7 linked regions of the Macaca fascicularis genome follow. The protein of the gene in region 6 purifies or fractionates together with the protein of the main gene of each other region. This does not show direct contact. Links are inferred from orthologs where the notes say so. Each region holds a gene or a part of one and is shown on either strand. Other genes may lie near its edges. The genes, in order: ING1, HDAC2, BRMS1, CHD3, OGT, SIN3A and NR0B2.

Region 1 (4,238 bases), on a different chromosome or scaffold from region 6:
GCTCCGCAGCGGCGGCCCTCGGCAGGGGCAGGAACAAAAGGTCTGGAGCGCCTTTGATTCGCCAAGGTCCTTGTGTGCAAAGCCCGGGACACGGAGGAGGAAGGAGGCGCGAGAGGTCTCGCTGCAAGGCTGCGCGACCAAAGCGCTCTTTGTAGTGAAGTGATGAGGCGGGTGCTGCGGGGGAGGGGGCGGCGGGTCCAAGCCGCGTCCTCTAGGAGGGGGTGCAGATTACGGCGCGAGATGGAGGGATGTGCCGGCGCCTGGGGCTGTAGGACGCCGAGATGTGGCTGCAGGAGGAGGGCGGCTGTGGGCCGGGGTTCCCGCGGACCCGGTGCCTCGGTCCGGAGCAACGCCGCTCCCCTGGCCCTTCTTCGCCGCCCCCCACCCAGTCCCCAATCCGAGTGTTACATAAAGTACCGGGTAGTACTCCGTTCGGGGTAGCTCGGTCGCCCCCGCCCAGTCCCCTCCGGCCCTCACTTGGCACTGGACACCGAGTAAGGGCCGACTGCGAGGGGCGACGCCGCCGGTTGTAGTTTGCGGAGGACGAGGGTTTTTCTCTGTGTGCCGTGGGGAAGGGAAGGGGAGGAGCGGAGGCGGGGAAGGCGCCCATCTGCGCAGCGCTGCGCTCGGGGGGGCGCGGGCAGATCGCTGGGTTGGAGAGGATTGTGGCAGATGAGAGGACCTGTGGGTCGTTCTCTGCAGATCTGGCCGCCCAGGGTGTCAGAGAGAGGTGGCGAGTTCGTGTCCGCCGGGAATTGTTGGCTGTTGGGGAAAGTTTTCTGCGAGGTCAGTCAAGGCTTTGGGGGCTCTGTTTTGAATGTGGATCACCACTCCGAGTTTACTAATGTTTACAAAGCTACGCAGTAGGGAAACGGAAGAGTTAGGTGGGGGCAAAAAAAAATCCATCGCCATGCCCGAAAGCACCAGATACCCCTACCGGGAAGGCGCCCCTGCGCGCTCTATCCAAGACGTAGCTTCGCAGCTGCTTTTATAGGAATCTCATTAGCATACTGTGGAACGTCCCGCCTCAGCCTTCCGGTGGTTGGCTGTGACGTCCTTCGTGGAATGTCCTTATCATTCCCCTGCGGAACGATTGGTCGCTGAGGCGGATGAAGGCGGGTGTAGCGCAATAACTGGCATGGGTCTGTGTTTCCGCTGTCTTCTTTTTTCTTTTTCGGGGAGGAGCGGGGTGGAGTGTGGTTGATTTGAACGTCTTCGGGTCGCTCGGCCTCCAGCCTCGGATTGGGCCTTGTCGCTGCTGGGGCGGGCTGTGCTCTTCCGCCTTGCGGTGTGGTTGGTTCTCCTCCTGGCCTCCGCCCTCCAAATCGGCGATTCCCATATGCGGCGGCTCTCGGGGGGCGCGGCGAGTCTCCCGCTGGCCTCCTCCCCATTGGCTGGAGGGCCGGCTGGTGTCGCCCAGGCCCCCACTCAGCACTGCCACTTTTGGGCGCGGAGTTATGGCAGTAGCGGGGACCCCAGGGCTGGGGGCTCGGGGCCGGGGCTGCAGTTCGGGCCGCCTCCCGCGACCCGCGAGACCGGCCCGCAGACAGTCCCAGGCCGCATCTTTGCTGACCCGAGGGAGGGGCCGCGCGTGGCCGGGGAAACGTGAGTGACTGGGGCTGCGTCCACGAGCGGGACCCTCGGCGCGGGAACTTTCCTGGAAGGTGCTGTCCTCGGGGCGGGCGGGCTCCGTGGAGTGACCCTGGGGCTCCGGACGGAAGGGAGGCAGGGGCTGAGACCACTCTGATCGTTCAACGATAGAAAAAAGCGCGGGGCGGGGTGCAGGGTCCCAGCCGTCAAGACAGCAAAGTTCACGGAGCCACTTTGTTCTCCTGTCGTTGCTGGGGAGAGCCTGGCTTGCTGCTTGCTTCAGGTTCACCTAGGATGATGAACTTTTTGGCTTCAGGAAAGATCACAGTCCCGCGCCTGCGGGAGTACTGGAGCCGTGCAACTGGTAGCGCTGAGAAGCGCGAGAATCTGTCGCAAGGGTCACAGCTCCTTGGACTTCGCTGTAAATGCTGAGCTCTGCTGCGTAGTTCTGAAAGACGAAGCTTGTTTTCACAGATCTACTCTACAGGAAGTCAGACGTCTTTTGCTTAGTAGGCATCGGTTGTCTGTTAATTCGTAAACATGGATTATAATTAGTTTATCGATTTAAAATGGTGTTTGAGATTGCTTGAATTATTTTTCAAACATTATTATAAAAATACCTACCCACCCCCTGGGAAGTCCGCTTCATAAAGAATTTCAGGGCAACCCTTACGTAAAATTAAAATACATTTAAAATAATTGGACAAACCAATTTCAATGTTGCTACAATCTCATTTAATCTGTAAATTCCATGTGTTGCTGCTTTCCATGGTAATGTTGGTGTGGAGTATGTTTGGAAGAAAGGTAGCAGTGTGTCTGAAGCTGAGTTGCTGGCATTCAAGGAGCAGAGTGTCTGGAAGGATGGCTTCCTATTTCGCAGTGGTGGTGTTCCTGTCTATAAATATTTGTACTTAGTGGTTTTGTTGATAAAATACTTTGTTTGGGGTATCAAAGAACTATTAGGTAACAGAAATACTTCTTGGTAATTTTGCAATGGGATATCTGTTTCTCTTCCCCACAAATTAGGCTTCGTCTGGATGGAAGCTTGCTTGTGATGCCAAATAACCTCTGTGTTATTAAATTTTAAATTTATATGATGGTTTTCTTTTCCATCAAATGACAATACTGTCTTTAGAACTTTGATTACTGATGAAAAGAAGTGATACCATTTTATAAGCCTAAATCCATTTAAAAATAAATGGTACACACTCATATTTTAACATCTATGATAAATAAGTTGGATAAATTGGTATTACTTGGATACGTTGAACACAGCTATTTATTTTTATAATTAGTGACTATTTGAGACTAGGGCATTCCTCCTGGTGGCAGGCAGCCTGCATTGTTCCTCTAGGAAATGTCTTCAGAGCTGTCTTTAGCTTGAGAATATACTCTGGAAAATAATACCATTTAGAGAAGCTTCAGCGTTGGCCCAACTTCTTATGTTTACTCTAGTGTTAGGTATATATCTTATAACTATTTGGAGATAAGATCTGGAAAGGGAGGGGGTACCATTTTAGACAATCCCTCCCACTCCCAGCCCCTCCCCATACACTTCCTAGTTTACAAGTAGTATTGTTGGCCTGGCACGGTGGCTCACTCCTGTAATCCCAGCACTTTCCGAAGCTGAGGCAGGCGGATCACGAGGTCGAGAGTTGGGAGACCAGCCTGACCAACATGGAGAAAACCCTGTCTACTGAAAATACTGGGCGTGGTGTTGCATGCCTGTAATCCCAGCTACTCGGGAGGCTGAGGCAGGAGAATCGCTTGAACCTGGGAGGCCAAGGTTGCAGTGAGCCGAGATCGCGCCATTGCACTCCAGCCTGGGCAACAAGAGCAAAACTCCGTCTCAACAAAAAAAGTAGTATTGTTGCCTTGTTTAAAGAGACTGCAAAAAGGTTTTAGGAGAATAATCTGGTACTGTTTAATTTAATGGTTATTGTTTGAGGAAAAAGAGCTCTGGAATTTCTTTGTGAGTAGCCTTTTGGCAAGACTGTTTACTGCCCTTATTTCAACTAGATTTTTTTTTTTTTTTTTTTTTTTTTTTTTTTGAGGCGGAGTCTCGCTCTGTCGCCCAGGCTGGAGTGCAGTGGCGCGATCTCGGCTCACTGCAAGCTCCGCCTCCCGGGTTCCCGCCATTCTCCTGCCTCAGCCTCCCGAGTAGCTGGGACTACAGGCGCCGCCACCACGCCCGGCTAATTTTTTTTGTATTTTTAGTGGAGACGGGGTTTCATTGTGTTAGCCAGGATGGTCTCGATCTCCTGACCTCGTGATCCGCCCGTCTCGGCCTCCCAAAGTGCTGGGATTACAGGCTTGAGCCACCGCGCCCGGCCTCAACTAGACTTTTTTAACAGCTTTTGTTTCTTGAGAAATTGCCTAATTACACTTTAAAATCATATGCACTGTCCTCTAACATGCCCAAGAAGTTTTATATTTAAATACTGAAGAGGTTTTCTTTTCTTTTTGATGGCATTTTAAAGTCCATTGACTTTAATAGATGTGAAGATGTTTTTGTTTAAGCAGTAGATGCAAAAGTAAAATCTACCAGCTTTGTTTTAAAGCAAGGCTAGTACATTCACTGCAGTTAAAAAATAATAATAATGACCCATTACAGTTGTGCTCCTGTAGTCCTAGCTACTCAGGAGGCT
Region 2 (3,500 bases), on a different chromosome or scaffold from region 6:
AAACCTGCATAATAATGACTTATATTAAGCTTATGATCCTGGCTGGGTGTGGTGGCTCACGCCTGTAATCCCAGCACTTTGGGAGGCCGAGGTGAGTGGATTACCTGAGGTCTGGAGTTCGAAACCAGACTGGCCAACATGGCGAAACCCTGTCTCTACTAAAAAAAGTACAAAAAAATTAGCTGGGTGTGGTGGCATGCACCTGTAATCCTGCTACTCAGGAGGCTGAGATAGGAGAATTGCTTGAACCCCGGAGGTGGGGGTTGCAATGAGCCGAGCTCACGCTATTGCAGCCTGGGCAACAGAGTGAGACTCTGTATCCAAAAAAAAAAAAAAAAAAAATTATGATCTATCTGAGCAGTAAGAAACTAAAATGTATTTCTTATAGTGCTTGTGACTTAAGGATGTACAAAGATATTAATATATAAAACAAGGACCCTTATTCTTGAAGAGGTTACAATTCAAGGGCATAGGGAAAGACTAAGAAAGGGTTATATATGTCTGCCATATCCCCTTCATTCTGTCAATACTGAGGAACTAAATGTGTGATGTTGTGTTATTTATCTGTATATGTTTTTTCCTTGTTGTCTTTAATGTCCTTCTGTATTTTGGCTCCCATGAACCTAGTTAATTCTTACAAGCTTTCAAGATCAAGATTAGCCACGGAAATAGGCAACCAGCTGTTACATCTTTTTGGTTTAGTAACTTCCTGACATGCATTTCAAAGTTACAGATATTAATACGTATTTAAGGAGTTTTAAAGAAAGTAAATCATACAGCAATTGAAGTTACTTTTAGAATGTTAACTTACTGTAATATTAAGGGGAAAGGTCTAGAAAATTTAAGCCTGTGTTTTAATTAAATGAGAACTGTTGTGCATAGACAACTATTGAGTTCTTGTTAATAGACCAGAAATATTCCACAGATACTCCTGATAAGATTTGATGATGATCTTTCACAGATAACACTGTAATTACCTTGGATAAAACAATAAATATATTTTAAAGTTGTAAACTTTATATTACACTGTGAAGTGTATGTTTGATGATTGCATCAAGCAAAAAAAGTATTTGTAGGAAATAGTTTTTGTAAGAAAAGGCTTTCATTAATTTGCAGAGTGTGTTGAAATTAATGAAATCCATCTTCCACAGTTAATGTTGGAGAAGATTGTCCAGTGTTTGATGGACTCTTTGAGTTTTGTCAACTCTCAACTGGTGGTTCAGTTGGTAAGTGCTAATACAATCAGATTTAAAAGTTGTTCTAAATTTGGTGTGTATCTTCCAGGTTATTTGTGTAAAGCAGGAGTTTTAATGATTGTGAATTTTGATAACAAAAGGAAATCAGTATGTTTATAGTACAGTACAATTTGCTTTCAAACCTCTGTTTTGTTATTGTGACTTAAATACTTTTGTAACTTACATTTTTCACTTACAGACTTCTTTCATCCCCCTTGTCTTCTAGCTATCATTGTTAGTACCACCATCTACATAAACCATTATTTAATCTCAGGGCGCAGCTCTGGGAGAATGTTTTTCTAAGGAGAAACTCCTATTTATGTCATAGATGATTTTTGTTAAGTTTTATGATTTTAAGCTCTTTCTTATGCATGGCATACACTTGTAGGGTTTTCGTCTCGTTGTACTAATTTTTTATGTTAAATATTTAAAAAGTCTACCTTGTTTCTACTTCTTAGCTGGAGCCGTGAAGTTAAACCGACAACAGACTGATATGGCTGTTAATTGGGCTGGAGGATTACATCATGCTAAGAAATCAGAAGCATCAGGATTCTGTTATGTTAATGATATTGTGCTTGCCATCCTTGAATTACTAAAGTATGTTAATTTATATTGGTACTTTTTTCAGTGATAAAATGTTTTCATTAAAACACAATAAAAGTCTGTGGCTTAAAAAAAATCAGGTAAGCCATAGGTTGAAATAGTTAATGGTGAATTTTCTGGGAATTCATTACAAAACAATGAAGAAATGCAGGGAGTTTGCCCAAATCTTCAATTATTAAGAGTTAGTGTGTGGCCAGGCACTATGGCCGAGGCCTGTAATCCCTACACTTTGGGAGGCTGAGGTGGGTGGATCTCTTGAGCCCAGGAGTTTGAGACCAGGCTGGGCAACATGGCAAAACCCCATCTCTGCCAAGAAAAAAATTAGCCAGATGTGGTGGCATGCATCTGTAGTCCCAACTACCCAGGAGGTTGAGGTGGGAGTATCTGAGCCCAGGAAGTAGAGTCTGCAGGAAGCCATGTTCCTGCCACTACACTCTAGCCTGGGCAACAGTGTGAGATCCTACCTTAAAAAAAGAATTAGAAGTGTATAAAAGGCTGGGTGCCCGTGGCTCACGCCTGTAATCCCAACACTTTGGGAGGCCAAGGTGGGTGGATCATGAGGTCAGGAGTTCAAGACCAGCCTGACGAGCATGGTGAAACCCCATCCTACTAAAAACACAAAAATTAGCTGGGCATGGTGGCACGTGCCTGTAATCCCAGCTACTCAGGAGGCTGACGCAGGAGAGTTGCTTGAACCTGGGAGGCAGAGGTTGCAGTGAGCCAAGATCATATCAGTGTACTCCAGCGTGGGCTACAGAGCAAGACTCTGTCTCAAAAAAAAAAAAAAAAAAAAAAAAAGAATTAGAAGTGTATGTAAATGTCAAAACTCCCATTAAATATCCTTTTTTAAAAGTAGTTTGGCAGTTTTCATTTTAGTTAGTTTCAACTAATAAAAAATGACAATGACCTTGGAAGTTTATGTTCTAGTATTTTGTAAATTGTAAATTGAAGACAAAAATTTGAAACCAGTATTTAAGGAAATTTGTTTACCTGTTGAGTTAGTCTAACTGCCTAACTTCCATATGTGAATGAGGCTTTGTTCTCTACTGATGGATATAAAATTATCTCTGAGTTGCTGCAGGAGTTATTTTTCCTTAGCTGTGGCTGCAGTTTGAGAGAGAGAGATCTGTAGAGGTACTTATGAATGTGGACATTTGCAATGTTATTTTTTGCCATCAGTTATGACACATCTTAGCAGATTCTACTTTATATTGTACTGAGCTGTTTTTTGCTTGTAGTTATTCCATGCATGCTATCCATAGAGGCTGATTTTTCAGTCACTGAAAATTGATACTGACTCCTCAAATAAACAGTAATTGAGCAGGATCAGTGTAACATCTTGTCAGCTCATCAGGAGCAAAGGAAAATCATTTGCAATCATTTGCCTTGTGTTTTAATTGACTGTTGATGTTGGTTCCAGTGTCTTCAACTCTTTGAGCAAGTTCTTGCCCACTCAGCTAATAGTTTTAAACAACTTTAATTTCTCTGGACACAATTTTTTTGGGTGGTGTAATCAAACATGATTTAATAAATTGACTTGGTGCACAGCTTTCCTTGCTTATCTAACACATGAGCCACTCAGAAACTTTACCTTGATCACAGCCTCATTTCTGTTTTTTAAATTTTGTGAAGAAATTTTGCTATACTATTATACGCTCTTTA
Region 3 (2,878 bases), on a different chromosome or scaffold from region 6:
GCCTCAGCCTTCAGAGTAGCTGGGACTATAGATGCACACCGCCACACCTGGCTAATTTTTGCTAATTTTTCTAGAGACGGGTTTCACCATGTTGCCCAAGGTGGTCTCGAAATGAACTCCTGGGCTCAAGCAATCTACCTGCCTTGGCCTCCCAAAGTGCTCGGACTATAGATGTGAGCCACTGAGCCTAGCCCGTTTCTGTTTTCCTAGGGTCCACATAGCCCAGAGAGACCCAAGACCCTGTAAGAAATTGCTGACAGCTGGATTTGCCTGGACATGGTCACATGACACCAAGCAACCACAAGTGCATCTAGTGCGACTGTCCTCCATGTCCCCTCCAAACCTCTCCCCCAGGTCTGGAGGTGACCCTAACATCCTGCCACCTTTTAGGCCACCTTAGGTGAAAGGATACCAGAAACCAGAGGTGCCTTCTTCCTCTTGCTGGGCGGCAGGGAGTCCCAAGACCTGGAGCTGCCTCTGGCGTGCAGTTTGTCGTCCCACCATTCTGCCCCCAGACCCAGAGTTAGAACTGGGGTGCTGGCCCACAGGACACTCTCTCTTCTGTAGCCTCTGCCCCCACCATGGGCCAGCCTGGCCTCATATCCCCTGCCCCATCACAACCCTGGGCTTGGGGTAGGAAGCCCCTTAGGGCTGTTCAGGTCCTGCCCGCACAGCTGTGCAACCCCGGGAAGAGGCCGCTGCACTTCTGTGAGCCTCATCTGTTTAGTGGACAGTGGGATGACAATTCCTGCCACCCCAGGACTCCACATGAACACAGGTACTATGAACGTGGAGGGGACTAGAGCTATTGCATGGGACTGCATGTCACACTGATACCTGTTTTGGAAAGAGCAGGGGCAGAAGAGGGCAGGGAGACCCACTCTGCCCGAGCCCCTACTGTGTGCCAGGCCCTTTCCAGGCCTGGTTTCCTTCAGTCCTCACACTGACCCCAAGAGGCAGGTCCTCTGACTGTCCCCTTGACTTCAGGACATCTGAAGTCTAGAAAGGGGTGGGCGTTGACAGAGCCAAGCCCAGGGCCGGGGTGCCCGGGCTCTCGCGCTCACCAGAGCTGAGGTCCAGGCTCTGGCGGTCCTCCTCCAGCCTCTGGATCCGCTCCTGCAGCTCCCCCTGCAGTGTGTCATAGAGCAGCAGCTTCTCACTCTGGAAGAGGGGGCAATAGCTCAGCAGGACGGATGGGGAGAGCTCACTTCAGGCCTTGCGCCCCGCCTTGTCCCCAGTGTGCCCAATCAGGCCCACCTCCAGGTGCTGTTTGGCTCCCTGCAGCTCACATTCATACTTATTCCTGATCACATCCAGACAGAACCCCTTGTAGATCCCTGCAGAGAAAGGAAGGAGGGACCCTGCTTGGCTGGGGAGCCTGGTGCCCACACAGGAGGGCTGAAAGCAAAGGGTGAGGCCAGGGAGGAACAAGAGAAGAAGGGGACAGGGTGCCATGGGTTCTGGGAGGGGAAAAAGGCACAGAACCACCCACAGACCTGCCACCTGAATGCGAATCTTGAGGCTCTGCTGCAGCCCCCCAAGGGGCTCCGTGTATTCAGGGGCTCTCTCAGCCCCTACTTCCTCCAGCCGCAACCGCAGCTGACTCAGTCGTTCCCTGAACAACCTGGGTGGTAAAAAAGGCAGCCGTGCACCCATTTGCTCACCTATTGCTCTTGGGCAAACACGTACCCAGCACCCATTCCACAGCAAGCCCTGTGTTAGGCGTGCACTTCCTGGGCACCAACCACGCCTGCCCAGTACCAGGCCCACCACCTCCTCATCCCAGCTCCTCGCAGACCCAGCCCAAGGTGTCCCCATGCTCACTTCTCCTTTAGCTCCGAGAACTGCTTTTCTAGGTCCAGCATCTCACTGACACACTCGCTGCGGCGCCGCTCATAGTCCTCATCGTCCATCTCTGGGACAAGAGGCCAGTAAGGGCTAGCTCTGGGGAGGGGTGGTGGGTACCCACATGTGTGCATGTGCGTCCTTCATGTGTGTGTGTGTGCATGCGTCCTTGTGTGAAGGGGCTGTGTGTTTGTATGCATGCTTGTGTGTAGGGGCTGTGTGTGTGTGTGTGCTTGTGTGTAGGGGCTGTGTGCGCGCACGTGCTCGTGTGTAGGGGCTGTGTGTGCATGTGTGCTCGTGTGTAGGGGCTGTGTGTGCATGTGTGCTCGTGTGTAGGGGCTGTGTGTGCATGTGTGCTCGTGTGTAGGGGCTGTGTGTGTGTATGCGTGCTTGTGTGTAGGGGCTGTGTGTGTGTGCACGTGTGCTCGTGTGTAGGGGCTGTGTGTGTGCATGTGTGCTCGTGTGTAGGGGCTATGTGTGTGTGCGTGTGTGCTCGTGTGTAGAGGCTGTGTGCGTGTGTGCTCGTGTGTAGAGGCTGTGTGTGTGTGTGGGTGCTCGTGTGTAGAGGCTGTGTGTGTGCGCATGCGTGCTTGTGTGAAGGGGCTGTGTGTGTGTGCGTGCTTGTGTGTAGAGGCTCTGTGTGTGTGCGTGCTTGTGTGTAGAGGCTCTGTATGTGTGCATGCTTGTGTGTAGAAGCTGTGTGTGTGCGTGCGTGCTTGTGTGTAGGGGCTGTGTGTGCATGTGCATGTGCTTGTGTGTAGGGGCTGTGTGTGCGTGTGCATGTGCTTGTGTGTAGGGGCTGTGTGTAGGTGCTTGTGTGAAGGGGCTGTGTGTGCATGTGCATGCTTGTGTGTAGAAGCTGTGTGTGTGTGCTTGTGGCAGAGGCTGTGTGTGAGTATGCTTGTGTCTAGGGGCTGTATGTGCATGTATGTGCATGCTTGTGCGTGGGGGCTGTGTGTGTGTGTGTGTTTGTGTAGGGGCTCACCGGAGCTCTCCTCTTCTGACTCTGTCTGGCTGCCGCTCCGCTCCTCCT
Region 4 (3,500 bases), on a different chromosome or scaffold from region 6:
GGATGAGCAGATCCCCTTGAGGAGCAGAAAGCAGCAAGAGTCTCCCCAACCTGTGAAGCCACCATCTGCGATATTGAACATGAACCGGGGCTTCTCTGTCTTTTCCTCTCGTCGCCCATTGGACCGTGGCTCATCTCGAGGCCCTGGTCGAAGCTCCCGGTCACCTTTTACATCTTCTGCTAGGACAGACAGGTGAAAGCTCACACCTCAGGACACCCTCCTCCCAGGTCCCAAGACTACTATCTGTACTGTGCTGTCCTGGCCTTTCAAACAGCTACCCGCCCAGGACCCAAGCATTTGGTTCCCCAGACTCCACCTCCCCTGATGCCCTCAGGGACCCAGGTGTCCGGTCCTTCCACCCATTACCTCTCTTGCCCAAATCCCCTGCTTCCCCCTCCGGCCTCTCCCTGTGTTCCTGTCCATCCATCGGCTTCTCCTCCCCCCTTTCTCCTGGCGTCGACTCTGTGGCTGTGGGAGGGGGTAGGGGATAGGAAGGGAGGATGTTACCCTCATCCTCTGACCCCAGAAGAGGGACATCCCAAATTCTAATCCCCCATCACTCCTAAGGCCATGCACCCACCTGACTTCTCTCTGTCCCCACGGTACCCAGGTTCAAGCTCCATCTCTCCAGGTACCCCTGGCACCTCATCCTCTAGAGGAATCTTCCTTGGCTCCAGCCGCTCCCCGAGTGATGGGGCTGGGCTGGGGGCATCAACCTGTAAGAGGACAATGGGGTCAGGATGAGCTGGAGGGCTCCCAGGCATCTGGCCTCCAAGCCCCCTCCCCTCCCACTCCACAGGGGAATCCAGGGAGCCACACACCTCTGTGTCCATCTTCTCCCCAATTCTGCTGTTCTTCTCTGGCTTCTCCTCCTGGTTTTCAGCTTCCTCCTTCTCAAGAGGAGTCCTTATGCCTTCTCCTTTCTCACTTGGAGCTGGAGTAGCTGCAGGGGAAGGCACAGTGATAAAGACAGAGGTTCTCTTGCCCTGACTCCTGGCTCCCTTTCTGTCTCTCCCACCATCCTGATTTCTGATTACCAGGTTTAGAGGTGCAGGGACTGTTGGTAGCAGAAGCCTCAGGAGTGGTGGGAGACGTTTTGGTAGGAGAGGAGGCTCTGGAGGAGCGCTTAGAGTCAGCGCTGGGGTCGGGCATCAGTTCCGGCATTGACCAACGCCCATTGATGTGCTCAAACTCCTGCACCTGGGGTGGGAAGGACAGGTGTCAGCTCCAGGCACTTACAGACATACAGACAGGAAACTCCAGTCTCCTCCGTCTCACACCAGCGCGAGCTTACAACTCAGGGACAGAGGCAGAGGAAGGACAGAGACTAGGCAGCCAGCTTGATTTTTTGGGTGAGAGGAAGACTGATACCTTCTTCTTGACGAGAGACATGACTCCAATGCGGGTCAACACCTGCTGGCGACTCAGTCCCTCCCGAGGGACCCCATCGGCAAAGGTTTCAGAGCCGTCTGCCCCAGGCTCACACAGATGGCGCATGAACAAAGATACATAGGCCCTAAGAAGCATGGGGTGGGAGGACGGTTAGGGAAGCCACAGAAGGGGTATAGGGCAGTGAGGAAGATGCAAGGATGACTGAGGACCCCCAAGTCCCCAAATCCCCAGATGCTCCAGGGCTCCTCCCCTGGGCCTCTCACTCTCACCATTACCAGCCCTCCAAGTCCTAACCGTGCCCCTGCGCCCCATCCCTGGCCTATCCCCTTGGCCTTGGTACTTAATTCCTGGGCCCCATCAGTCAGCTCTTCATCCTTTCCACCAGCTCCTCCTGCCAGGTGATTGTGGCCAAGTAAATGTGAGGCTAGGACAGCCCAGGAGAGGTTCCTTGCTTCAACACCTCTCCCCTGGGGAGAATGCCTGGCCCCTCTACTCTAGGCTCGGCTGAGGGGAGGTGGGGTGGGCTGAGACCACCCCCCAGGAAATCGAGCCAGGAAGCGTTGTATGGTAGGGAGGGTGACAATCAGTTGAGTAAGGTCACATCATATGGCGGCCCCAAGGAAGAATGGAACACCCAAAGCTCTTACCCTTGCGTCCAACTCAGCCCTGCATCACCCACACTCACTTAAACTCCTTCTCAGTCTTGCCCCTCAGGTCCCGCACCAGCCACTGCGTGGTGAAGGCATCCTGTGGTGGCATCCCCCAGCGCATCACGGCATTGAGGAAAGCCTTCCGCTGACGGGTATTGAAGCCCAGCACCTGAGGGTGGGGGCAACGAGGCAATGGCGACAAATGTCCAGGGTTCTTAGGTCTTGTCCTTTCTACCCTCAGTGATCCAGGCCCCAATTTCCAACCTTCTGCCCTCATGCTCTCCTTGGAGAACTCACGAACACTGGGCCCAGCTCTCACCTCAATGTTGCCCCCGACTCGGGCCAGCAGTGGAGGCAGTGGCTTATCTTTCTCATTCCGGAGCTGCCTCTTTGACTGTCTACGCCCTGAGAGTGGGGATGACATCAATTAGCTGATCCACCACCTCCTCTAAGCCTCAGTCCTCCTTAGCACCCCATTCCCACAAGACACAGAACACAGGAACATTCCTATCATGTTTGAGGTGCTCCCAATTCTCTCCCAAGCACTTCAGAACTACTAACCCAGTGACTGTAAAAGAACTAGTCATATTTTAAAATTAATAGCTGATATCTGACAAAGGCCCAGATTACCAGTGGAAATGGAAAATGATTCAGCCTTTCTTGATCTAGTCTATGTGGTCACACAAACCGAAGTTTACTAGTGGAGAGACTATCAACATTGCTTCCTTTCTGCTCATCTGCAATGGAGTTTTTCCACACACACACAAAGATTTTTTACTTGTACAAAAACAGTGGGCTTAAAGCAAACTGAAAAATAAAATGGTAAGAGGTAAGAGTCAGGAACACAGATGCCACCTTCAGGACGTTCATCGAAGTCTTCATCCTCCTCCTCTGAACCCACCGAGTACTCTGACTGGTTGTCTGTGGGGGTGGAGAGGGCCCAGTGGTCAGGGAGGTCTCTCGGGATATGCCCATGCTGGGGCCCTTTCTGGCTGGCTTCCTCCCTGCCGAGACTTGTCTACCTTTATTCTGGCCTTGGCCCTTCTGGGAACGCCAGGTCACTGCCTGAAGTCTGACTTGGGAGCCGCATATCCTACAGCATCTCCATTCACCGCCCACCTTCAGTCTCTGGGCCCCTCTGGTTCTCCTGCCAAACCTACTCTAAGCAGTGGCCCTGGGTGTCCACAGGATGCCTGTGCAACCACCAAATAGTTTAAATCACCTGCAAACCCACCTGGCCTCCGGGTAGTTCCTAATGACTCTACCTTACGTCTTTCCCTTTTAGCAGGGAAAGGCTCTGACTTCTAGGCTTCTCTCTTACTCTCTAAGTAGCCCCAGCCTTAAGTCCCTTCTCATCATCACTTCCCCCACTTTTACTGCCTGCATCTGGGGCAGTCCTCACCTTGGTCTTCCTGAGCAGCATCATTGTAGTTAACTTGCTTGCGAACCCGCTTGCCC
Region 5 (2,724 bases), on a different chromosome or scaffold from region 6:
AAACAATACACAATGGAACTAGAGCGGCTCTATCTACAGATGTGGGAGCATTATGCAGCTGGCAACAAACCTGACCACATGATTAAGCCTGTTGAAGTCACTGAGTCAGCATAAATAAAGACTGCACAGGAGAATTACCCCTATACCTGAGCCTCAACCTTCTGGGGGAAAGGGAACTAGATAACATACTTCTTACTTGTCTGTACAGTACCTTGTTGCAGATGGGTGATATATAATGGTAATAGAATAGCACAGCCAGACTTGCTTCCTGCATGGTAGGGAGAGACACAAGAGATGGGAAACTGCTGTTCCACAAGGAATCTCCGTAGAATTTTGCAGCGACCAGATGGTGCATAGGTCTGGAAGGTCTGATCTCCCTTGGTCTCTTCCATGGGATGGTTAGTGTGGAGGGGAGATATAGATTGTCCGGCCGCTTTGTGATTCCATGGATTGATTCAGTCTTCTGGATTAACTTTTTTCTTTATATTTTGGGTACTGGAGCTTTTAAAAATGTTTGGTTTCAGGTATTTTTATTCATGTGAAGTGTATATGATTCTCTTGAGATAAGGTTTTAAGCTAAAATGTTACTCCCTGTTTTAGTTTCTGAACTCTGACAGATCGACAGGGACTTTGCTGGTGTAGTCTTTTTATAGGTTTTATAAACCACTTGAGCCTATATCAGTCGTTTTAGTGTCTGACCTAATGTTTGGAGCTATCAGTGCTTTGTTGATTTAGATGATGACTCAAGATTTTTTCTGGTCCATTTCCCATTTCCTTCTCTTCCCTGACCCCCATACCCCCACCCTTAAAATTCTCCTGTAACTCAACTAACAAAATCAAGTCTGATTCAAAACATCCTAGGGTGTTTCTCTTAAACACGCCATCTGGTGCCAAATGAAAATTTTTAGGAGTGATGACTAATTATCAAGGGCACAGTTGTGGTACTGTCATTGATAATAATATAGTTTTTTTTTTTTTTTTTGGCCTAATTTTGACCTGTTTCACCAGTGTTTTACCCTTGACTGCCCCTTCTATGCTGCTTCCAAAAGTGATAGTGTGTGTAAGATTTTTACCTTCCTTTCTAAAGTTTTTTTTTTTTTTTCTTAAAGTGAGTCCTGTTCTTCCTATTTCTTTCAGCAGAAATGAAATCCCAGGTAAGTATAAGTATTCAAGTATTTGATCAGTAAGTCACAGTTATCTCCAGTGCATTAAATAACCTTCATCAAGAAACAGGTTATAGGTAAAATCTCTGAAGGACCATCTGTGTATTCAAGTAATTATATTTTAGATATTCTGGACTTGGTCTTGAAGTCTGTACAGATTCAGCCTCAATAGTAGCAAACTGCACTGCTATTTGGTTTGGAGTACAAATTAGACTTATAGTCCTCCTGGAACTTGAGTTATTAAAGTCATAGGAATAAAATTATGGGATCTCAACAGAGTCGAGGGTTTGAGGCTTAAACAAGCCAACATATGAATATATGTTTTGTCTCGCTGTACTGCACTTACGCTATCCAGTCGCAGGTAATTTTTTGTCTGCCAGTAGTGTTCTAGATTATGTCTTTCCAAAGCGCTGAGGCTGTGCACCTATTCTGTAGTTGCAGCTGATGCCTGAATGTATCCTAGCTGACAAATTATTGATTAATAAGAACTTGCATTTCTGAAAGATGCTTACTGTTAACCAAATTTTGAGCTAGGAGTCTCAAAGGTAATTCTGAACCAGAATTACATGTTAATGAACAGTGTACCTTTTAACAATGTAAATCACGGAATATCCGTGAAGGGATTTCTTAATTTATTTTTTACTGGATGATTGAAATACCAGTTAAAGGTTGCCAGCATGGTTGCAGATAAACTGACGTTTGAAATTCACCGAACTACTTAATGTGGAATAGGGTAATATACTTCCAATGCCCTCAAGGCTGTGACCTTACAGCCATTTTACATAGCACATCATTCCTCCTACAGGGATGAACTTTTTCCTGGCACGAAAAGTAGCCGCTCTGGTTGAAGCTTTGCTTATTGTAACAGGCTTTTATTTCCAGGTAACATGTCTGTGGAAGACTTAATTCTGATTAGAGATATAGATATTACTGGAAACTAATTGTTTTTTTTTTTTTTTCTATTGTACTCTGCTTTATCAAAGAAGTAAAACATTTAAATCGTGCTACAGAAATTAAGATGTTGTCTTGCGATCCTTAAACAATAAATGATTTCCCCTTAATACGGCTGATGTATTTTGTGTCCTGTTATATTGAGTGGCTTGATGAATAGGGTCATCCAGTGATGAAACCTGTATTTGAACAGCCTCAAACAGCAGCAAAGGACCAAATTTCCCTTCTGTAGCTATGATATTAGGAATTGTTTTCTCAGCCAGGTCTGGTGGAGGGTGGTGGGTTAGTTTATGATCCATTAAGGCGGCAAAGTGGCTGGATGTGGTGGCTCACGCCTGTAACCCCAGCACTTTGGGAGGCCGAGGCAGGTGGATCACTTGAGGTCAGGAGTTCAAGACCAGCCTGGCTAACATGGTGAAACTCCGTCTCTACTAAAAATACAGAAAACTAGCCGGGAGTGGTGGCACACACGCTTGTAATCCCAGCTACATGTGAGGCTGAGACAGGAGAATCGCTTGAACCCAGGAGGTGGAGGTTGCAATGAACTGAGATCGTGCCATTGCACTCCAACCTGGACGACAGCCTGTGATCCCCAACACACCCATTCATG
Region 6 (3,500 bases):
TAAGCAAAACAAACCAAAAAACCCCAAAACGAATTAGGCACCATCCTTGATGTCCTCCTTTTGCTTACCCCCACATTTGATCCAATACCATCTCTTGTCAATTAAATATCTAAATTATATCTACATCCAGGCGTGGTAGCCTGTAGTCCCAGTACTTTGGGAGGCTGAGGTGGGTGGGTCACTTGAGGTCAGGGGTTCGAGACCAGCCTGGCCAACATGGTGAAACCCCATCTCTACTAAAAATACAAAAAATCAGCCAGGCGTGGTGGCGCGTGCCTGTAATCTCAGCTGCTCAGTAGGCTGAGACAGGAGAATCGCTTGAACCCAGGAGGCAGAGGTTGCAGTGAGCCGAGATTGGGTCACTGCACTCCAGCTTGGGCGACAAGAGTGAAACTCTGTCTCAAAAATAAATAAACACATAAAATCTACAATGTAATTCTTGCAATTCCACTGCCACCCTAGTAGTCTGGGTGGTCCCCAAATCTCATTTGGACAAGGGCACCCTTGAGTGGTCTCTGCTCTTCCAACTTTATACATACCCATCTCCACTCTCCTCATAGCACTCCAAGCTATCTTTGTCAAATGTCCCAATGCATCTCAAACAAACTCCAAACCATGGCCTATTAGACAAAGTAATGTGGCCTCTGCCTACCCTTCTAACTTCATGCAACCTTGAGCCACAACGGTGTCTGTAGTTTCTTGAATATGCCATGTTCTTTCCTCCCAGCCTTGTACTTGCTGTTTTGTCTAGAAAACACCCATCCTCTACTCTTCACCAGGCTAATTCCTTGTCATTATTCAGGCCTCAAGCATCACCTCCTTTGAGAAGCCTCCTCCAGTGAAAGCAGGGCCTGTATGCTAGTTACCCTTGATCACTGCACCTGATTTGTTTCCCTGGTAGTGCATATCATCACATTACTTCATCTGATCAACTTCATGGCTGTAGTCCCAGGGCCTGGCATAACACCCTGTACACAGCTGCAGCAGGAAGGTTTCACAATTGAGATAGAATGTAAAAACAGGTAGAATTCATACAAGCAAACGATCAGATACTACTTGAGATGTAAATACTGGGAGTAAATTCACTAAAAAGGTGCCACCAGGTATTTATATGCTCTTACGGGCTGAAGTGTGTTCTCCCTAAAATTCTTATGTTGGCTGGGTGTGGTGGCTCGTGCCTGTAAAGCTAGCACTTTGGGAGGCTGTGTCAGGCAAGACTGTCTCAAACAAACAAAAAATCAAATATTGAAGTCCTGGCCCACAGTACTTCCAAATGTGACCTTATCTGGAGGCAGACATACACACAGGTAGAAACACCATATGAAGATAAAGGCAGGGATCTACAAGCCCAGGAATGCCAAAGATTGCCAGCAAAGAACCAGAAGCTAAGAGAGGCCTAGAACAGATTGTCCCTCACAGTCCTCAAAAGGAACCAACACTGCTGACACCTGACTTTGGACTTCTAGTCTCCAGAACTTTTGTCGTTTAAGCCACACTCTGTGGTACTCTGTCACAGCATCCTTAGCAAACCAACATACCTACTTCCTCAGCTAAGTCTCAGCTCCAAGAACAGGTTTGCATAAACAAAGAGAAACAATCAGAAGACTCTGGGCCTCCCCTGCTCCTAGCTAGGGTGGCAGATGTGTACAGAAATTAGTTACTGGTTCTCACCTGATGAGCCCGGAGCAGGGCAGTCCTCCGATACATATAGTCCTCTGATTTGATCACATACACCATCTTGTAGGAATTCAGCTTGAATCTACACTCCAGCTTATCCAGACTATCCACATTCTCCATGGTCTTCTTACTGTTTCCTTCCTTCCCTTCCTTTTCCTGCTGCTCTCGACCACGCTGACATTTCCGGATCCGCCGTAGATTCCTATGGCAGAAAAGCCCTGAAAGATGAGAGCTCATCCAGACACAGATTCCCGTGACTTCCCCCAAGTGAGTTTTCTTTATTATATGCTTACATAGTACTCATCCCAATTTGTTAAATACATACAAAAATGTTCCGTTGTTTCACTGCAAAAAAAATTTCAACTGCAAAGGTACACAGAATAAAAAGTAGAAATCTTCACCCATCCCCTACTTGCCTTAGCAGATGCAGCCAGTTAAGAGTTTTAATGAGAAACTTCTGGGCCTCCGTCTGTAAATTTACACATGTAATTACCAGCTATAATTCTGCTTTGGGATTTGTTTCTAAGACAAAATAGGATCATACTATATATTCTGTCCTCAACTTTTCACTTACTGTCATGAGTATTTTTTCATTTCATGACAGATTTGTCTTATTCTCTTTAACTGCTGCAGAAAAATGTACCCCAATTTACCATTCCTTAACAGTTTATTTCAACTGAGGTTCCTCATCTGAACCACATAACAAAAAATTATTTGAATGCCTATTTTTAAAAATTCCCCCAGATGATATAAACTAGTGCCACTCTACATAGACAAGAAAGAAGATAATTCACATGAATGGATGCCCTGAGGGGTGGGAGGCTTGCTAAATCTCCTCAACATCCAGTGAAGAAAGGTTATCAGCTAGACAATTATACTGTTTCTCATAACTTGCTATTAAAAACACTGCTTCAGGTTGGCCGTTGTGGCTCATGCCTATAATCCCAGCACGTTGGGAGGCAGGTGGATTGCTTGAGCTCAGGAGTTTGAGACTAGCCTGGGCGACATGGCAAAAACCCCTTCTCTACAAAAAATAAAAAAATTAGGCAGGTGTGGTGATGTGTGCCTAGAGTCTCAGCAACTTGAGAGGTTAAGGTGGGAAGATCGCTTGAGCCCAGAAGGTGGAGGTTGCAGTGAGCCAAGATCCCACCACTGTACTATAGCCTGGGAGACAGAGTCAGATACTGTCTCAAAAAAAAAAAAAAAAAAAAAACCCCAAAATATTGCTCTAGTGAGTATCTTTGTATACATGTATTTCTGTAGACAGCAGTTCTTTGTCCAAAGGGTCCCAAGACCCTTTTAGGAGATCTGTGAGATCAAAACTATTTTCATAATAATACTAAAATATTATTTCCCTTTTTTGCTGTGTTGACATCTGCACTGGCACCATAAACGTAATGGTGAATAAAAATGGTGGTGGCGCCAAATTGTATTTGCAATATCGAACAAATTGTTACCAAATTCCAATATCAATCTATATACATCACTGAGCTTTTCATACAGTTGTCAAACTCTATTGGTTTATTTTGTACCATGAATGAATCCTTTTACTTCCACGATTTTGTAACCTCATGCAATTGCAATTCAAGTCTTTGAACTTCACACTGACTGCACAATGACATTAAGTGAAAAAAAGCCAGTTTCACTTAAGAAGGTTTCTGATGGGCCAGTCACAGTGGCTCACACTTATAATCCCAGCACTCTGGGAGGCTGAGGCAGGCAGACCACTTGAGGTCAGGAGTTTGAGACCAGTCTGGCCAATTGGGGGAAACCCCATCTCTAATAAAAGCACAAAAATTAGCCAGGCATGGTAGCGTGCACCT
Region 7 (4,111 bases), on a different chromosome or scaffold from region 6:
CTGTTTCAATTCGGGAATGGACTGCTTCCTGATTGGCTGTGATTGGGCTTTAACTGTGGTGAGAGGGCGCATGAAGTGGGTAGGAGCCAGGAGAGTGGTTAGTGAAGGGTTTGGGAACAGGAGAGCAACCTCCTTCCCCTGAGGATAAAGGCAATGAGGTGATGGGATTGTGAACTGATACTGTTCCCTGGAAAATTAGTTCCAGCAACCCTGTGGATTTTTTCCCTTGGGCTACCTCTGATAGGAGCAGGGTGGGCCCTGGAGGTGAGACAGTCCCTTCTATATGCACAAACAACAGTATCAGGCTCCAAGTGTTTCATACCTTTTATTACAAAAATCAATAACTTAATTCAGTTCTGTATAAAGTCAGTAGGACTTCTGGTCCAATGAGCAGCTTAAGCTTTCATTCCCATCCCAACAAGGGACAGGAGTCTTGGCCCAGAGGCTGTGGGGACCACCAAGAGCCTTCCAGGCAGCTGGAGCACTGTGTCCAAACCAAGGAAGTCCAATGTGGGGTGTGGCTGAGTGAAGGGCTGTTCCTAAGGAGCCAAGTGCTGTCTATACAGCCTTGCCCCCTCCGGGAGCATTGGGTCACCTCTGGTGATGGCCAGGCTGAATCAGCACTGCCAGCCTCTGCCCACCTGATCTCTGCCTGGGCTACAGCTGGTCACCTCAGCAAGAGCATGTCCCCAAGAAGGCCAGCGATGTCAACATCTCCAATGATAGGGCGAAAAAAGAGGTCCCCAAGCAGGCTGGTCGGAATGGACTTGAGGGTGGAGGCTGTGAGGAGGACACGGGCCAGGCGGCCTTGGGCTGCTGGGCACCAGGGCTCCAGGACTTCACACAGCGCCCAGTGAGCCTCCTGCTGCAGGTGCCCAATGTGGGAGGCGGCTTGGAGGCCTGGCACATCTGTGGGCAGAGAGGGAGAAGAGGGTTGGTGAGCATCCTACTCCCAGCCACCAAAGGAAGAGACTGGCCCAAGATCTGGGCCATCAGAGACACCCCTCTGCCTCCTTTGCTCGGCCTTTGAGGTCCCACTACTACCTCCTCCTTTGGAGGAGGTAATTTATTTATCAATTTCCATTGTATTCATCCATCCATTTATGAAGAGGCAGTATGGAGTAATGGTTAAGAATCAGGTTTCCTGAGTATGAATCCCAGTACTGTCACTTAGCTGGGTGACCTTGGGCAAGTAACTTAATCTCTGGGCTTCAGTTTCTTTATTTGTAAAACGAGGATAATAATATTAATAGGACCTGTCTCCTAGGTTTTTATGAGATTTAAATGAACTAGTATATGTAAAACCCTTAGAATAGGGCCTAACATATGGTAAGTGTGATATGAGTATTTGCTACTATTATTGCAATTAACTACTACGATTTATGCGTGCCACAGGGACTCCTGGGGAACGCTCATCTCAGATGCTCTCCAGATTACAAAGAGCACTGTCTCATCTGCCACTCTCCTGGCCAAATTCCACAAAGACTCCCTTCCTGTCCTCCCTACACCCCTTTCAGTTCTCTCTTCTAAGTGATCTTTCTGAACCCACAGAGGAGTTTCAGCTCTAGAGCTTCACCATGCAGCCTTCCTTTGAAGATGTGACTGAGACACAGCTGTGTCTGCCCACCCCACCTCCCCCGCAGCCTTCTCTAAAGGTCAGAGCAAATTTCTCAGGCAGAGTGGCAAGGGCCAGTCTCTGGAGTGAATAGACCTGAGTTGCCATCCTGGTCTGTCCCTACCTGGCTGTGTTACCTTTAGCTCGTCACTTAGCTTCTCTGTACCTCTTCTGTGAGATGGCTATTTGATGAAAATGAGGAACCGGCCAAGCACAGTGGCTCACGCCTGTAATCCAGCACTTTGGGAGGCCAAGGTGGGTGGATCACCAGAGGGATCAGGAGTTCAAGACCAGCTTGACCAACATGGCGAAACCCCGTCTCTACTAAAAAATACAAAAATTAGCCGGGAGTGGTGGCGGGCACCTGTAATCCCAGCTACTTGGGAGGCTGAGGCAGGGAAAATTGCTTGAACCCAGGAGGCAGAGGTTGCAGTGAGCCAAGATCGCGCCATTGCGCTCCAGAGTAGGTGACAGAGTGAGACTCTGTCTCAGAAAAAAAAAAAAAAAAGAAAATGTGGACCCCATGAGATTACAGATATCAAACCCTTAGAAGTTACCTTCCCTGGCTGGCTCCTGCTTCAGCCTTGCCCCCTACCCAGGAGTGTCTGGGAGCTCACCAGGGTTGAAGAGGATGGTCCCTTTCAGGCAGGCATATTCCTTGGGGCTCAGCTCCAGGCCCCAGAAGGACTCCAGACAGCACTGAAGCCACTGCACTGCAGCCAGGGAGGGCTGGGGTCTGTCTGGCGGCTGGCCACTGCCTCCACTGCTGCTGGGCTCCTCCAGTAGAATCTTCTTGAGTATGCTGGGCACCGGGGCCTCAGCCACTTCAAAGGTCACAGCATCTTGGGCCAACCCAAGCAGGAAGAGGGGGCCCCAGCAACCCTGCAGCAGCCGCCGCTGGTCCTGGGGAGGCAGCTGCCAGAAGGATGGCAGGTTCCTGAGGAAGGCCACTGTCTTGGCCAGAACATCCAAGGCCTCCCGGCAGGTGCGATGAGGTGCACATAGCTGGACGGGCCGGTGCTGCCTACATAGGCAGCGGCTACGGGGTCGGGGGACAGCCCTGAGGCTGGAGCTCAGAAGTGCGTAGAGAATGGCTGGGCGGCTTGCAGCTCCCTGGCATGGGCAGGCCCCTGGTTGGCTGGTGCTCATGGTTGGGATCTGCCCTTACTTCCAGCTCTCTGGCCCTCTGTTCTGCGCCGTGGGTGCTATTTATATTCCCAGTGAGTGGAAGGGGGGGAATGGCCCGACAACCTTGACTCCAGAAGTCATGTTCATTGAAAAAAACACACAGACACTGCCCCTGGCAGGAATGGTGGGGAAGTGGTGGGGGAGGGGGCATTGGGAACCCCACGTGGCACTGATATCACTTCAGTCAATGAAGTGGCCGGTGCAGGGCACAGGGCCACCTGCCGCTCACTCAGCTGCCCCTTATCGGATGACTCAAGTGGATAAACAAGGTCATTAACCCAGGTTGTACCAGGGCACCAAGGCCCCAGGTGCACAATCAGCAGGTGTCCCCATTGGTGCCTGCTCTTGTGTGCACAAAAGACTAGCGCTTTCGCTAAGCCAGGAAGTCAGCCCCAGAGCTGGGTGGGCCTTGAATGCAAGGCCCGACCTGGAAGTGCCTTATCACTAGCTTGTTTGCCTAACCTTGGGGCCCTGCTTCTGTTGTCGGCCAGGAGCAGGCTACAGGGAAGGGAGCCAGGACCCTGGGGGGGCTGGGAGGACTTTGCCCGCTGTCCAGTCTCGGAGGCCCCCTTCCTCTGGTTTCAGTTCTGGGCCCCCTGCAGGAATAAGGTCCTTCAGAATCCCTATCCCCTGCCTGATTCCTTTTTTTTTTTTTTTTTTTGAGACGGAGTCTGCTCTGTCGCCCAGGCTGGAGTGCAGTGGCCGGATCTCAGCTCACTGCAAGCTCCACCTCCCGGGTTTACGCCATTCTCCTGCCTCAGCCTCCCGAGTAGCTGGGACTACAGGCGCCCGCCACCTCGCCCGGCTAGTTTTTGTATTTTTTTTTAGTAGAGACGGGGTTTCACCGTGTTAGCCAGGATGGTCTCGATCTCCTGACCTCGTGATCCGCCCGTCTTGGCCTCCCAAAGTGCTGGGATTACAGGCTTGAGCCACCGCGCCCGGCCTTTCCCTGCCTGATTCCTACCACTCCTGAAAGTCCAGTCCTGCTGAGAAGAACTCACAGAGTTATAATAAAAGATAGTTGCCAGCTGGGCATGGTGGCTCATGCCTGTAATCCCAGCACTTTGGGAGGCCGAGGAAGGGGGATCATTTGAGGTCAGGAGTTCAAGACCAGCCTGGCCAACATGGCAAAATCCTGTCTCTACTAAAAATACAAAAATTAGCCGGGCATGGTGGCATGTGCCTGTAGTCCCAGCTACCCTAGAGGCTGAGGCAAAATAATCACTTGAAACTGGGAGGCAGAGGTTGCAGTGAGCTGAGATCATGCCACTGTACTCCAGCCTGGGCAACAGAGCAAGACCCTGTCTC

What was found.
Region 1: the proteins of SIN3A (region 6) and ING1 purify together in Homo sapiens (affinity purification with western blotting; 5 studies listed by BioGRID and IntAct, with this or other methods). This does not show direct contact. The link is inferred for Macaca fascicularis from reciprocal best matches to the Homo sapiens genes SIN3A and ING1.
Region 2: the proteins of SIN3A (region 6) and HDAC2 purify together in Homo sapiens (affinity purification with western blotting; 24 studies listed by BioGRID and IntAct, with this or other methods). This does not show direct contact. The link is inferred for Macaca fascicularis from reciprocal best matches to the Homo sapiens genes SIN3A and HDAC2.
Region 3: the proteins of SIN3A (region 6) and BRMS1 purify together in Homo sapiens (affinity purification with western blotting; 4 studies listed by BioGRID and IntAct, with this or other methods). This does not show direct contact. The link is inferred for Macaca fascicularis from reciprocal best matches to the Homo sapiens genes SIN3A and BRMS1.
Region 4: the proteins of SIN3A (region 6) and CHD3 purify together in Homo sapiens (affinity purification with western blotting; 3 studies listed by BioGRID, with this or other methods). This does not show direct contact. The link is inferred for Macaca fascicularis from reciprocal best matches to the Homo sapiens genes SIN3A and CHD3.
Region 5: the proteins of SIN3A (region 6) and OGT purify together in Homo sapiens (affinity purification with western blotting; 4 studies listed by BioGRID, with this or other methods). This does not show direct contact. The link is inferred for Macaca fascicularis from reciprocal best matches to the Homo sapiens genes SIN3A and OGT.
Region 7: the proteins of SIN3A (region 6) and NR0B2 purify together in Homo sapiens (affinity purification with western blotting; 3 studies listed by BioGRID). This does not show direct contact. The link is inferred for Macaca fascicularis from reciprocal best matches to the Homo sapiens genes SIN3A and NR0B2.

The regions. Positions count from the first base shown.
Region 1 is NC_088391.1:101,291,285-101,295,522, forward strand, and holds the start of ING1 (inhibitor of growth protein 1), read left to right. Parts: upstream 1-1,438; 5' UTR 1,439-1,457; coding exon 1,458-1,605; exon of another isoform or gene 1,606-2,099; intron 2,100-4,238. UniProt on the Homo sapiens protein: Cooperates with p53/TP53 in the negative regulatory pathway of cell growth by modulating p53-dependent transcriptional activation. Implicated as a tumor suppressor gene.
Region 2 is NC_088378.1:17,995,119-17,998,618, reverse strand, and holds part of HDAC2 (histone deacetylase 2), read left to right. Parts: intron 1-1,151; coding exon 1,152-1,226; intron 1,227-1,693; coding exon 1,694-1,832; intron 1,833-3,500. UniProt on the Homo sapiens protein: Histone deacetylase that catalyzes the deacetylation of lysine residues on the N-terminal part of the core histones (H2A, H2B, H3 and H4).
Region 3 is NC_088388.1:8,060,479-8,063,356, reverse strand, and holds part of BRMS1 (breast cancer metastasis-suppressor 1), read right to left. Parts: coding exon 2,831-2,878; exon of another isoform or gene 1,916-2,830; coding exon 1,825-1,915; exon of another isoform or gene 1,625-1,824; coding exon 1,497-1,624; exon of another isoform or gene 1,338-1,496; coding exon 1,258-1,337; exon of another isoform or gene 1,162-1,257; coding exon 1,065-1,161; exon of another isoform or gene 506-1,064; coding exon 413-505; exon of another isoform or gene 1-412. UniProt on the Homo sapiens protein: Transcriptional repressor. Down-regulates transcription activation by NF-kappa-B by promoting the deacetylation of RELA at 'Lys-310'. Promotes HDAC1 binding to promoter regions.
Region 4 is NC_088390.1:7,972,755-7,976,254, reverse strand, and holds part of CHD3 (chromodomain-helicase-DNA-binding protein 3), read right to left. Parts: coding exon 3,445-3,500; intron 2,964-3,444; coding exon 2,898-2,963; intron 2,448-2,897; coding exon 2,362-2,447; intron 2,212-2,361; coding exon 2,078-2,211; intron 1,946-2,077; exon of another isoform or gene 1,807-1,945; intron 1,517-1,806; coding exon 1,372-1,516; intron 1,201-1,371; coding exon 1,038-1,200; intron 944-1,037; coding exon 822-943; intron 717-821; coding exon 581-716; intron 469-580; coding exon 367-468; intron 180-366; coding exon of another isoform or gene 177-179; coding exon 51-176; intron 1-50.
Region 5 is NC_088395.1:78,293,671-78,296,394, forward strand, and holds the end of OGT (UDP-N-acetylglucosamine--peptide N-acetylglucosaminyltransferase 110 kDa subunit), read left to right. Parts: coding exon 1-114; 3' UTR 115-2,224; downstream 2,225-2,724. UniProt on the Homo sapiens protein: Catalyzes the transfer of a single N-acetylglucosamine from UDP-GlcNAc to a serine or threonine residue in cytoplasmic and nuclear proteins resulting in their modification with a beta-linked N-acetylglucosamine (O-GlcNAc).
Region 6 is NC_088381.1:52,597,009-52,600,508, forward strand, and holds part of SIN3A (paired amphipathic helix protein Sin3a), read right to left. Parts: intron 1,880-3,500; coding exon 1,672-1,879; intron 1-1,671. UniProt on the Homo sapiens protein: Acts as a transcriptional repressor. Corepressor for REST. Interacts with MXI1 to repress MYC responsive genes and antagonize MYC oncogenic activities. Also interacts with MXD1-MAX heterodimers to repress transcription by tethering SIN3A to DNA.
Region 7 is NC_088375.1:208,192,675-208,196,785, reverse strand, and holds NR0B2 (nuclear receptor subfamily 0 group B member 2), read right to left. Parts: upstream 2,801-4,111; 5' UTR 2,765-2,800; coding exon 2,233-2,764; intron 910-2,232; coding exon 668-909; 3' UTR 312-667; downstream 1-311. UniProt on the Homo sapiens protein: Transcriptional regulator that acts as a negative regulator of receptor-dependent signaling pathways. Specifically inhibits transactivation of the nuclear receptor with which it interacts.